Linked DNA regions of Anolis sagrei. The protein of the gene in region 1 interacts with the protein of each later gene in a pairwise test. Links are inferred from orthologs where the notes say so. Each region holds a gene or a part of one and is shown in the gene's direction. Other genes may lie near its edges.

Region 1 (6,386 bases):
AAAACTATTTATAGATTTAAGTCGTTGACGTGCTGGCTGATACGCCACAGAAGCGACCAGCATTATTTATGTGTAATAATATATTATTTATATTATTATATTCATAATTATTTATAATAATTAATTTATAATTATTTAGAAGGGTTGTCACCAAACAAGTACCTTTTACCATATGTGGTGGTCATGTAAAGAAATAGAGAAATACTGGTCGAAAGTACATGAGGAGTTACAAAAAATTCTGAAGAGAGTTTTCAAGAAGAAACCAGAATACTATCTATTGGGATTTACGGATTTGGAATTACAATTAGATGAGAACGAAGATAGACTATTTACTTATGCTACAACAGTGGAGAGAATATCTTTGGCGAAGCTTTGGAAAGAGGAAGACATCCCTACCATTGAAGAGTGGTTAGGGAAAATAAGAGAAATAAGAGAAATGGACGAATTAACTTTTTTCTTGAAAAAGAACACCGGGAATCCGATAAAGAGGACAGATTGGACTCTATATGAAAACTACGAAAAGGAAAGGAGCAAATAAGAGGAACATTATGAAGTGGATACAATGGAAATATTACTGAGGACACACCTGATGGAGAGATGGAAGTCAATTTTTATCTTATATATATATATATTTCTTTTTGTGTTTTTTGTATTTTATTTTTTACTGTTTTTTCCTTTTTGATCTTTTGGTGGACTTGGGGGTAGGGGGGTGCTTTTCTATTTTTTTCCTACTTTGCTATTCTCTTTTTTAATATTCACCCTCTTTCGATGTTACTTTTAAAACTTTAATAAAAATTATTTTAATATATATATAATTATTTATAGGTAAATAAAAGTAAAGGTTTTCCTCTGACATTAAGTCCAGTTGTGTCCGACTCTGGGGGTTGGTGCTCATCTCCATTTCTAAGCCGAAGAGCCTGCGTTGTCCATAGACACCCCCATGGTCATGTGGCCGGCATGACTGCATGGAGCGCCATTACTTTCCCGCCGGAGCGGTACCTATTGATCTATTAACATTTGCATATTTTTGAACTGTTCGGTTGGCAGAAGCTGGGGCTAACAGCGGGAGCTCATGCCGCTCCTCAATTTCGAACCTGAAACCTTTCGGTCAGCAAGTTCAGCAGCTCAGCAGTTTAACCCACTGCGCCACTGGGGGCGCCATAATTATTTATAATAATATAATATTTATTTATATTATTTATATTATTTGTCGTGTCAGAGCAACCAGTCCATTATATTACATTTCTAACAGAACAAAGCAAACAAATAGAAAAATACAAAACTTGTGGGTTTGGTAGTTGGTTAAATGTCCTTTGACCAGTATCTGGCCACTTGGAGTGCTTCCGGTGTTGCTGCAAGAAGGTCCTCCATTGTGCATGTAGCAGGGCTCAGGTTGCATTGCAGCAGGTGGTCAGTGGTTTGCTCTTCTCCACACTCGCATGTCGAGGATTCCACTTTGTAGCCCCATTTCTGAAGGTTGGCTCTGCATCTTGTAGTGCCAGAGCGCAGTCTGTTCAGTGCCTTCCAAGTTGCCCAGTCTTCTGTGTGCCCAGGGGGGAGTCTCTCATTTGGTATCAGCCATTGGTTGAGGTGCTGGGTTTGAGCCTGCCACTTTTGGACTCTCGCTTGCTGGGGTGTTCCAGCGAGTGTCTCTGTAGATCTTAGAAAACTATGTCTAGATTTAAGTCGTTGACGTGCTGGCTGATACCCAAACAGGGGATGAGCTGGAGATGTCTCTGCCTTGGTCCTTTCACTATTGGCTGCTACTTCCCGGCGGATGTCAGGTGGTGCAATACTGGCTAAGCAGTGTAATTTCTCCAGTGGTGTAGGGCGCAGACACCCCGTGATAATGCGGCATGTCTCACTAAGAGCCACATCCACTGTTTTAGTGTGGGGAGATGTGTTCCACACTGGGCATGCATACTCAGCAGCAGAGTAGCACAGTGCAAGGGCAGATGTTTTCACTGTATCTGGTTGTGATCCCCAGGTTGTGGGATCAACTTGCTTGCGGTTGCTTCTGGATCGAGAATATTTATATTATTATAGTGCCACTGTACGAAAGTTTCCCAAATAGGAGGGGGAAAACCCCTTCTGTCTCCCAAACATTTTAGATCAGCGTGCGATGCTTCCCTCCCGACGACAGGGGGCGCTCCGGCACCGGTCTCCGGAAGCAGGAAGCCGAAGGGTGAGCAGAAGGCGCTCTATCCTCCGGCTCTGTGGTTTGGAAGCGTGTAGGCCGGGCCTTCTTCGGCGGAAAGCATTATCCCTTTGCGCGCATGCGCAATCCAGCGAGCGGAAGTGACCTGAGAGAGAGGGACGTGGAGAGCGAGCGGGGCAGAGCTTGGCGCTCCTCCGCTCGGCTGCTTCTGCTTGCCTGCCTGCCTGCCTCTCTTCCCTCCTTCGTGTCCCATCTCCCTTTTTTGGGACTACTTTGTGTGTCCTTCCGCGCCTCTTGTCTGTCAGGCTCCCTTCTGTGTCTCCTCAGCCTGTCTGTCTTCTCCTCCATTCCTTTCTGTGATATCAACACCACTTCCCTCAGCCTTCTTTCCTCTCAGGGACTATTGGGGCCTTCTCTCTTTGCTCTGCCTCACTGAGGACTAGACCCTTGAGCCTCAGTCCTATTATTATTATTAATATTGGTATTTAAATTGGCCTGCCCCCGTGTTTGGGGTCTTTGGGCTTTAAACCTCATTCTTATTCTCATTGTTAATATTAATATTTTAATTTATCCCCCCAGTTTGGGGCCTTTAGGACTGATTGCACATCCTAATTACTCTGCCTCGTTGCCATGGGTTCTTCCTGAGGGGAATTATTTTTCTTACTAAGAATACAAATCGTTCTGAGTCACTGGCTGCTCCTTAGCCTTATTATTAGCGATAATAATAACATTGGTTGGCTTTGGCCCTCCTTCTTAGGCTTATTATTATTCATATTGCTATTGATATTGGTCTGCTTCCCAAGCTGTTTGCTTTGGGCTGTTTTTTAGGCATAGTATTAGTATTCTAAATCAGTCCTGCTTCTCTTATCAGTTGGCTTTGGACTATTTCTTGGGCTTATTAGTATTAGTATTCTAAATAAATTCTGCTTTTCTAGCTGTTGGCTTTGGACTATTTATTGGGCTTATTATTATTAGTATTCTAAATAAATACTGTTTCCCTAGCTGTTGGCTTTGGGCTTTCTCTTAGGGTTGTTATTATTATTAGTATTCTAAACCAATTCTGCTTCTCTATCAGTTGGCTTTGGACTGTTTCTTGGGATTATTATTATTATTAGTAGTAATATTAGTATTATAAATACATTCTGCTTCCTTAGATGTTGGATTTGGGCTGTTTCTTGGGCTTATTATCAGTATTACTAGTATTATTAGTAGTAGTGGTGGTATTATAAATCAATTCTGCTCCCCTAGCTGTTGACTTTGGGCTACCCCTAAAGAGTATTGTTGATACGGTTATTGGTAATTTCTTCTCCCTTGGCAATTGAGTGCTCCTTAAGCTTATTATTGTTCATAGTACTATCGATAGATACATTCTGCTCCCTTTTGGCTCTTTCTGAGGGTTATTATAATAATTATTATTAATAACATAGATAAATTGGTCTCCTCCCTTGGCACTTGGTTTTGGTGTCCTCAGGTTTATTATTGTTATACATATCTGTTCTGCTCCCCTATCTGTTGGTTTGGGGCTGCTTCTTAAGAGTTATTATTATTATTGTTATTGTATATCAATCCTGCTTTCCTGGCTGTTGGCTTTGGGCTATGTATTCTTATTGATATTATTATAGATACGTTGATCCACTCCCGTAGCTGGGCTGTTCCTCAGGCCTTCTCTCTCTACATTCCTATATGAAGTAAGTACCGATTTGCCTTTCTTTTTCCAGCCGTGCCTTGTCTTTTTGGAGTGAAACTAGCTCCCTTTTCACCTAAACACAGGGAGAATAGTGTCTGACTTTTTTTTGCCATTTCTTTGTGTGGTGGGAGAAAACTTCCCACTATTTTTGGCCTCTCTTTCTGTCTCATAACTCAAAACACTTGCCTTTCTTACTCTTTTCCTTCTACATTTTTGAGGCAGGAAGAGGAGGCAGCTGTCCTGAGTTTGGCTTTAACCCTCTATCTCTCCGATCCAAGAGCTGGACTCTGCCCTGATCCTTTTCCTTCCTTCCCCCAAACTCTCAGAGTAGCCTTGTCCCTTTGTTTCTACTCTTCTGGATCCAAATCTGTGGTTCACCTGCTTTCTTCTTGATCTCACAATCCCTGTGGACTGATTTGGGGATCCGTCGGAAGCCATCATGTCTGTGGCAGGACTGAAGAAGCAGTTCTACAAAGCCAGCCAGGTGAGAAAAGAGAATATGTCTATATATGTGTGTGTGTATATAGATAGATAGAGATATAGATATAGATTTATATGGCAACTTGTTGTCATGAGCCTTTCCCCCACATCTTAGTAGCCTCTCACGGTGTTTTCTTGGCAAGGTTTGCTCCTAAAGGGTTTTGCCACAACTGTCAGTATGAAGTGTTGTCGCTTGTTGTCACCTGCCATCAACTCTACCTTAGGGTGACTCTATGAATGAGAGGATCCATAGCCATCGGCCTTGCAAACTTATTATTTGATGGAGTTGATCCAATAGTGTGATTTCCCCCATTTCCCACTTCTTTCCACTTTGCCAAACATGGGTTGTTTTCCCCCAAAACATTCCTAATATGACGGCCTTTGTTTAGCCGCCCACTAAGCTACCTTCCATTGTGTATCTCTATCTCAATGAGGTTGGTTCTGGAAATATGGGAAGGGGATCAAGAAAGCGGACATCCATGGTTACCTTTATCTCTGTCTTGATTACACTATGCTCCTTCAGCAGCGAGCACAAAATTGCGCGTATGTCCTTTCCATATTATTCTCACATTATGGCGGGCCTTTATATCTGCTGGTGTTTGGTTCCAGAACAACATCCACATCCATTGAACACTCAAGCTCTATTATGCACAGCAATGTTGTTAAATGATGTCCCTGGTTTAAAACGGTAATAATCAAGATTTGCCTTTAGGATTTTTTGCCCCCAAGCCATGGATGCAGAATCCGTGAATATGAAAGGCCAACTGTATCTCAGAATTAGGGACATCTTTCAGGAGTTTGTTGACTCCTTAAGGGATGTTTGACTGGCTGTTCCCTGGCTACTTAGGAAAACAAGATGCTGGTCTCAATAGCTGAAGGGTTGCCAGGTAGAAGCAAGACCCAGCTTGTTTTCTCCTGCTAAGAAGACTAAAAAAGGAACTCATGGATTCAATTGACCTTTAGGTTGCTGTGAGTTTTCCAGGTTGTCTGGCCATGTTCCAGAAGCATTCCTTCCTGATGTTTTACCCACATCTATGGCAGGCATCCTCAGAGGTTGTGAGGTCTTTTGGAAACTAGGAAAATTGAGTTTATATCCCTGTGGAATAATGTCCAGGGTGGGAGAAAGAACTCTTTTCTTCTTGAGGCGAGCGTGAATGTTGCAGTTGGCCACCTTGATTAGCATTGAATGGCCTTCAACGCCTGGCTGCTTCCTTCCTGGGGGAATCCTTTGTTGGGAGATGTTAGGTGGCTCTGATTGTTCCATGTCTGGAATTCCCCTGGTTTTTTTAGTGTTGCCCTTTATTTACTGTCCTGATTTTAGAGTTTTTTAATACTGTTCATTTTCATGTTTTCTTCCTTTCTGTTGAAATTGTCCACATGATTGTGGATTTCACTGGCTTCTCTCTGTCATCTGACATGGTGGTTGTCGGAGTGGTCCAGCATTTCTGTGGTCTCAAATAGTATGCTGTGTCCAGGTTGGTTCATCAGGTGCTCTGCTATGGCTGGCTTTTCTGGTTGGATTAGTTTGCAGTGCCTTTCATGTTCCTTGATTCGTGTCTGGGCAATGATGCTGCGTTTGGTGGTCCCTATGTAGACTTGAGCCCCCAGTGGCGCAGTGGGTTAAAGCACTGAGCTGCTGAGCTTGTTGATCGAAAGGTCGCAGGTTCGATTCCGGGGAGCGGCGTGAGCTTCCGCTGTCAGCCCTAGCTTCTGCCAACCTAGCAGTTCGAAAACATGCAAATGTGAGTAGATCAATAGGTACCGCTCCGACGGGAAGGTAACGGCGCTCCATTTATTTATTTATTTATTTATTTATTTCATTCACTTATACCCCGCCCTTCTCACCCCGAGGGGGACTCAGGGCGGCTTACAGGGAGGGCACAATTAGATGCCCAATCACACAAACAAATAATCCAAAAATATAACAATTCAGCAATTAGATTAAAACATCAATACATAGTAAAATCATAAAACCTAAAACAATCTCATGTCAGAGTCCATATATCAGAGTCCATACATCCGTTCTACTCCGTTTGTCCTTGTCTATCGCCAGGTCCTTGA
Region 2 (6,386 bases), on another chromosome or scaffold:
TGTTGGATGGGGTTACACTCCCCCTGAAGACACAGGTTCACAGCATGGGTGTGATTCTGGATTCATCGCTGAGCCTGGAACCTCAGGTTTCAGCGGTGACCAGGGGAGCTTTTGCACAGTTAAAGCTTGTGCACCAGCTGCGCCCATACCTTGGGAAGCCTGACTTGGCCACGGTAGTCCATGCTCTGGTTACATCCCATATAGACTACTGCAATGCGCTCTACACGGGATTGCCTTTGAAGACTGTCCGGAAGTTTCAATTGGTCCAATGGACGGCAGCCAGATTGCGCATACAACTCCTCTGTTGCGCCAGCTCCACTGGCTGCAAGTCTGCTACCGGGCATAATTCAAAGTGCTGGCTTTAGCCTATAAAGCCCTCAGCGGTTCTGGTTCAACTTACCTGTCTGAATGCATCTTCTCTTATGAATCTGCTAGGACTTTAAGATCGTCTGGAGGAGGCCCTGCTCTCGATCCCACCTGAGTCACAAATATGTTTGGCGGGGATGAGAGACAGGGCCTTCCCAATGGTGGCCCCTCGGCTATGGAACGCCCATCTTACAGACATTAGATCGGGGGGCCCTCCCTCTTAACATTCCGGAAAATGCAGTGTAAAAGATATAGGAACTTTGAACCACTGGACAACGAGATGGATAATGTTTTAAACTAGGAGGTGCAAATGTTTTATGTTTTTATTACTTTTGTTTGGTTTTATACTATGTACTAGCTTTACCCACCACGCGCTGCTGTGGCCAACCTTCCCTCCCTATTTCTCTTCTTCTTTCCCTCCTTCCTTCGCTCCCTCTTTCTGTCCTTCCTCCCTTTTTTCTTTCCTTCTCTCCTTCCTTCCTTCCTTCCTTCTCTACCTCTTTCCTTCCCCCTTTTTTCTTTTCATCCCTCTTTTTCTGCTTTCTTCCTTCTCTACCTTTTTCCTTCCTTCCTTCGCTTTTTGCTTCTATACATACTTCTGCCTTTCCTTCTTTCCTTCCCTCCCTCTCTCTCCTTTCTTCCTTCTCTACCTCTTTCTTTCCTTCCCCCTTTTTCTTTTATCCCTCTTTTTCTCCTTTCTTCCTTCTCTACCTCTTTCCTTCCTTCCTTCGCTTTTTGCTTCTATCCAGACTTCTGTCTTTCCTTCTATCCTTCCCTCCCTCTTTCTCTCCTTTCTTCCTTCTCTACTTCTTTCCTTCCTTTCCTTTTTTCTTACTTTCTCTTCCTTCTCTACCTCTTTCTTTCCTTCCCCCTTTTTCTTTTATCCCTCTTTTTCTCCTTTCTTCCTTCTCTACCTCTTTCCTTCCTTCCTTCACTCTTTACTTCCATGCTTCCTCTCTTTCCATCTTTCTTTACCTCCCTCTTTCTCTCCTTTCTTTCTTTCTCTCCTTTCCTCCCTCTTCCTTCCCTAAATGACCCTGTATCATCATTTAGCTTTTCGTCACTTAGCTTTTTGGGGTTTTTAAGTCCTTTCCACTTTTTTTGGGGGGGGGGGTATGAATGATGGTCACTCATTGGTCTGTTAGGGGTATAGTGCCCAAATTTCGTGTCAATTCGTCTAGTGGTTTTTGAGTTATGTTAATCCCACAAACGAACATTACTTTTATTATTTATATAGATTATTGTGTCAGGCTACACAGAGAAGCCATTGAAATCCACAAGCATGTGGACAATTTCAACAGAAAGGAAGAAACCATGAAAATGAACAAAATCTGGCTACCAGTATTAGAAAAAACTCTAAAATTACAACAGCAAAACAACAGAGAGGAAACAAACAGGCACATAAAATCACTCTCAACAAAAGAGTCCCCCCAGGCACTTCCAAGCCATTGAATGCTAATCAAGGTGATCAGCTGAAACATTCACACCTAGCCCCAGCAGACAAGAGTCCTTTGTCTCACCCAGGTCATTCCACAGATATATAAACCCATTTTTCCTACTTCCAACAGACCTCACTACCTCTGAGGATGCTTGCCATAGATGCAGGCGAAACGTCAGGAGAAAAATTGCCTCCAGAACATGGCCATATAGCCCGGAGAAACCTACAACAACCCAATGTGTTAAATGTTTTATGATGTTCTTGGGCATGGAACCGTTGCTCTGTCAGTCGCCCTGAGTTGCCTGAGGGCTGAGAAGGGCGGTATACAAATAGAGTAAGCACAGAAATCAATAACCCTTGTGGGGAGCCTTCCTGAGATCCAGGTGTGGAGAAGGCCAAGGAGGGAGGGAGAGCAGGTGAGAAAAAATTAGAAGGTGGGAGCAAAAGTAGCGTCGGGAGGAGGAGGAGGAGAAAAGGAGGCGGTGGCGGAGGAGAGGGCGGCGCCCGACAAAAGGCGCCCTCCTCCACCTGCGCTTCTCCTCCCTCTTTCTCTCCCTTCTCACCTTCCCTGCTTGCCTCCCTCGTCGGAGGCCACGTCCGGGCCTTGCTCCCCTCCCTCCCTCCTTCCTTCCCTGCCGCCATGCTCCCTGCCCGCGGCGGAGGGGGCTCCATGCCGCCGCCTCCCACCGCTACCGCCCACTACCCGCCACCTCGCATCACCCTCCCTTCGGGGCTGGAGATCCTGCGCACCTACTCGGGGGCCTTCATCTGCCTGGAGATCGTAAGTCCACCAAGGAGGGGAGAGGAGGGGAGGGGAGGGGGGTCTCCCTCGGGATAAACGCTCAACAAGTGGGAGAGAGAGAGAGAGCACGCTTTGGCTGCACCCACTCTGTACATTAAGTCATGCACCCACTTGTTGGCACCGCTCGAATTGCCCTGGCTCAAAGGCTGAAGAGAATTGTAGCTTGACGTGGTCTTCAGCCATGGCCTTCAAGACATGGATTCAGACAGTATTATTTCAACAGTGTAGATCAGGAATGGGCAAACTTGGGCCCTCCAGGTGTTTTGGACTTCAACTCCCACCATTCCTAACAGCCGGTAGGCTGTTAGGAATGGTGGGAGTTGGAGTCCAAAACACCTGGAGGGCCCACGTTTGCCCATGCTTGGTGTAGATGGGGAGGGGAGGGGAGGAGGGGTCTCCATCGGGATAAACACTCAACAAGTGGGAGATAAAGAGAGAGAGCACGCTTTGGATGCACCCACTCTGTACATTAAGCCATGTGCCCACTTGTTGGCACCGCTCGAATTGCCCTGGCTCAGTGGCGTGGAGTCCAGAGAATTGTAGCTTGACATGGTCTTCAGCCATGGCCTTCAAGACATGGATTCAGACAGGATTATTTCAACAGTGTAGATCAGGAATGGGCAAACTTGGTGTAGATGGGGAGGGGAGGGGAGGAGGGGTCTCCATCGGGATAAACGCTCAACAAGTGGGAGATAGAGAGAGAGAGCACGCTTTGGATGTATCCACTCTGTACATTAAGCCATGCGTCCACTTGTTGGAACCGCTCGAATTGCCCTGGCTCAAAAGCGTGGAGTCAAGAGAATTGTAGCTTGACGTGGTCTTCAGCCATGGCCTTCAAGACATGGAGTCAGACAGTATTATTTCAACAGTGTAGATCAGGAATGGGCAAACTTGGGCCCTCCAGGTGTTTTGGACTTCAACTCCCACCATTCCTAACAGCCAGTAGGCTGTTAGGAATGGTGGGAGTTGGAGCCCAAAACACCTGGAGGGCCCAGTTTGTCCATGCTTGGTGTAGATTTTTTGAGCTCTTGATCGACTCTCTGGTCTTATTTGCATCTGTTGTTGGCAGGTTGGATGTCAAACCAACCAACCAACCAACCCACGGGTTCTTCTATTTCTATGGGTGTCAAATTAATGCAGTTTGACACAAGTTGGACAGCCCTGGCTCAATGCTATAATAATAATAATTATCATTATTATTATTATTGTATTTGGGCCCCCGGTGACGCAGTGGGTTAAAGCACTGAGCTGCTGAGCTTCTTGACCAAAAGGTCGCAGGATCAATTCCAGGGAGTGGCGTGAGCTTCTGCTGTCAGCCCTAGCTTCTGCCAACCTAGCAGTTCGAAAACATGCAAATGTGAGTCGATCAATAGGTACCACTCCGGCGGGAAGGTAACAGCGCTCCATGCAGTCATGCTGGCCACATGACCTTGGAGGTGTCTATGGACAACGCTGGCTCTTCGGCTTAGAAATGGAGATGAGCACCAGACCCCAGAGTCAGACATGACTGCACTTAATGTCTGGGGACAACCTTTACCTTTTTTTATTATTATTGTACGGTTTTCTGGCATTGTATATTTCTGCCGCTTCTGTGATTGTTCATACCACGTGACAGTCACATTGAGGAAAAACAGCAGGAAAAACTCAGCTGTTATCAGGACCTCAAAATCGAACTGCAAAGGCTCTGGCATAAATCAGTACAGGTGGTACCAGTGGTCATGGGCACACTGGGTGCTGTGCCAAAAGATCTTAGCCGGCATTTGGAAACAATAAACATTGACTAGATCACAGTCTGTCAACTGCAAAAAGCCACCTTACTTGGATCTGCACACATCATTCAAAAATACATCACACAGTCCTAGATGCTTGGGAAGTGTTCGACTTGTGATTTTGTGATATGAACTTTACTTAGGCGATCCCTCGTAGTCCAAGGATGATGGTCCTCCAAGTTCAGTGTCCTGGCAGTGGGTCTGTAGGTGACTGTGGAGCCCTATTCTTGATCTGCATCTTCTTCCACTGTGAGGGCATTGGTTTCCAGGTGGAAGGCGGTCTTGGTCGGGGTTAGCTTGACACGCCTTCCTTTTGGCACGTTTCTCTCTTTCACCCTCCATTCGTGCCTCTTCAAATTCTGCAGCACTGCTGGTCACAGCTGACCTCTAGCTGGAGCTGTGTTATGAAATCCAGCACATATATCTCGTTTGCTGTGACAAACTGTGGTTTTGTGTCAGAATAATAATAATCATCATCTTCTTCTTCTTCTTTATTTATACCCCACCACCATCTCCCCAAAGGGGACTTGGGGTGGCTAACATGAGGCCAAACCCAAAAATACAATACAAAGAGACAAAAATTACATTAAAATAAGATACATGAAGTAACAAAATAAAATAAACATTTACAAAATAGCATAATGAGGAGATAGAACACAGTGGGCGAACCAAATGCACAGGATAAAAAAAAGGATAAAACCCTGGATGAGATAATAGTGGGAAAGTGTATTTCTGAGGGAGGAGCTTATAAGGGGTGAACAGTTGGGTTAGACCTAATGCTATGGGAGTTGTAACTTTATCTGGCTTTTAGCCTTTTCTGCCTAAGGGCCCTTCCAGACAGGCTTCATATCCCAGAATCTGATTCCAGGTTTTCTGTTTATCCCAGATTATCTGGCAGTGGGGACTCATATAATCCAGTTTAAAGCAGAAAACCTGGGATCAGAACCTGGCATATTAAGGCCAGGATCTAGAAGGGCCCTAAGAGGGCATCTACAATGCAATTTTGATGCCACTTAAACTATCCTCTTCAATGTGATGATATCACTGGACTTGTCATTTTATATGACCTTTCGGGTTCTTTACCAAAGAGGACTGGTGCCTCACCAAACTATGAGTCTCAGCATTCTGTAGTATTGAGCCATTACTGATTTAATGAATGTTTTATTAATTGTTTTAATAGTTATTATATGTCTCTGTTATATGTAGTGGCATTGAATTACTGCCAAATGTAAGCCGTCCTGAGTCTCCCTTCAGGGGTTGAGGAGGAACAAGATAGAAATGTCGGAAATAAATTAATGGCAGTCATAGTGGTGTCAAGCTGCTTTGTTTCAACAGTGTAGATGTATCCTGTGTTCTTTTCCATACCAAGCCTCGTTGAGTTCACCCAGGGAAAATAGTGCACAAATTGTCATCTTTGTTCACAAGGGATAGGATACTTGGATGCCTGCTTTCAAAACAAAACAAGGTAGGTGCTATATTTGTATGCGTGCATCCACGCTCTAGAACAGTGGTTCCCAACCTGAGTGCCGTGGACCACCAGTGGTCCACAAGAACTAAAATATGGTCCGCCACCTCACCATTACTACACAGTTGCAGTGAGAGCGAGTGGTCTTGCGAAACCCTCTTATAGTACCAAAACTTATTAAATATGTCAACAAAAGTTTGCTCCAGGTACAGTCAGCCCATTGTATGCTAATCAAGGTGGTCAGTTGAAACATTCACACCTAGCTCCAACAGACAAGAGTCCTTTGTCTCACCCTGGTCATTCCACAGATATATAAACCCCTTTTCCTAGTTCCAGCAGACCTCACTACCTCTGAGGATGCTTGCCATAGATGTAGGTGAAACGTCAGGAGAGAATGCCTCTAGACCGTGGCCATACAGCCCGAAAAAAACCTACAAAAACCTTATTAAATATGGTTTTCTGTGGGTGAGCAGATGGTGACTACTGGATGGCATATGTTCTGTATTGGAAACTAGAGCTGATGTAATCTATCAAATGCAATTTTCT

Evidence for each region.
Region 2: the proteins of SH3GL1 (region 1) and MAL2 interact in binary tests that used the Homo sapiens proteins (3 or more experiments, as listed by UniProt). The two-hybrid records come from large-scale screens. The link is inferred for Anolis sagrei from reciprocal best matches to the Homo sapiens genes SH3GL1 and MAL2.

What each region holds. Positions count from the first base shown.
Region 1 is NC_090034.1:56,223,853-56,230,238, reverse strand, and holds the start of SH3GL1 (endophilin-A2), read left to right. Parts: upstream 1-2,275; 5' UTR 2,276-4,284; coding exon 4,285-4,329; intron 4,330-6,386. UniProt on the Homo sapiens protein: Implicated in endocytosis. May recruit other proteins to membranes with high curvature.
Region 2 is NC_090024.1:22,144,907-22,151,292, reverse strand, and holds the start of MAL2 (protein MAL2), read left to right. Parts: upstream 1-2,326; 5' UTR 2,327-2,444; coding exon 2,445-2,585; intron 2,586-6,386. UniProt on the Homo sapiens protein: Member of the machinery of polarized transport. Required for the indirect transcytotic route at the step of the egress of the transcytosing cargo from perinuclear endosomes in order for it to travel to the apical surface via a raft-dependent pathway.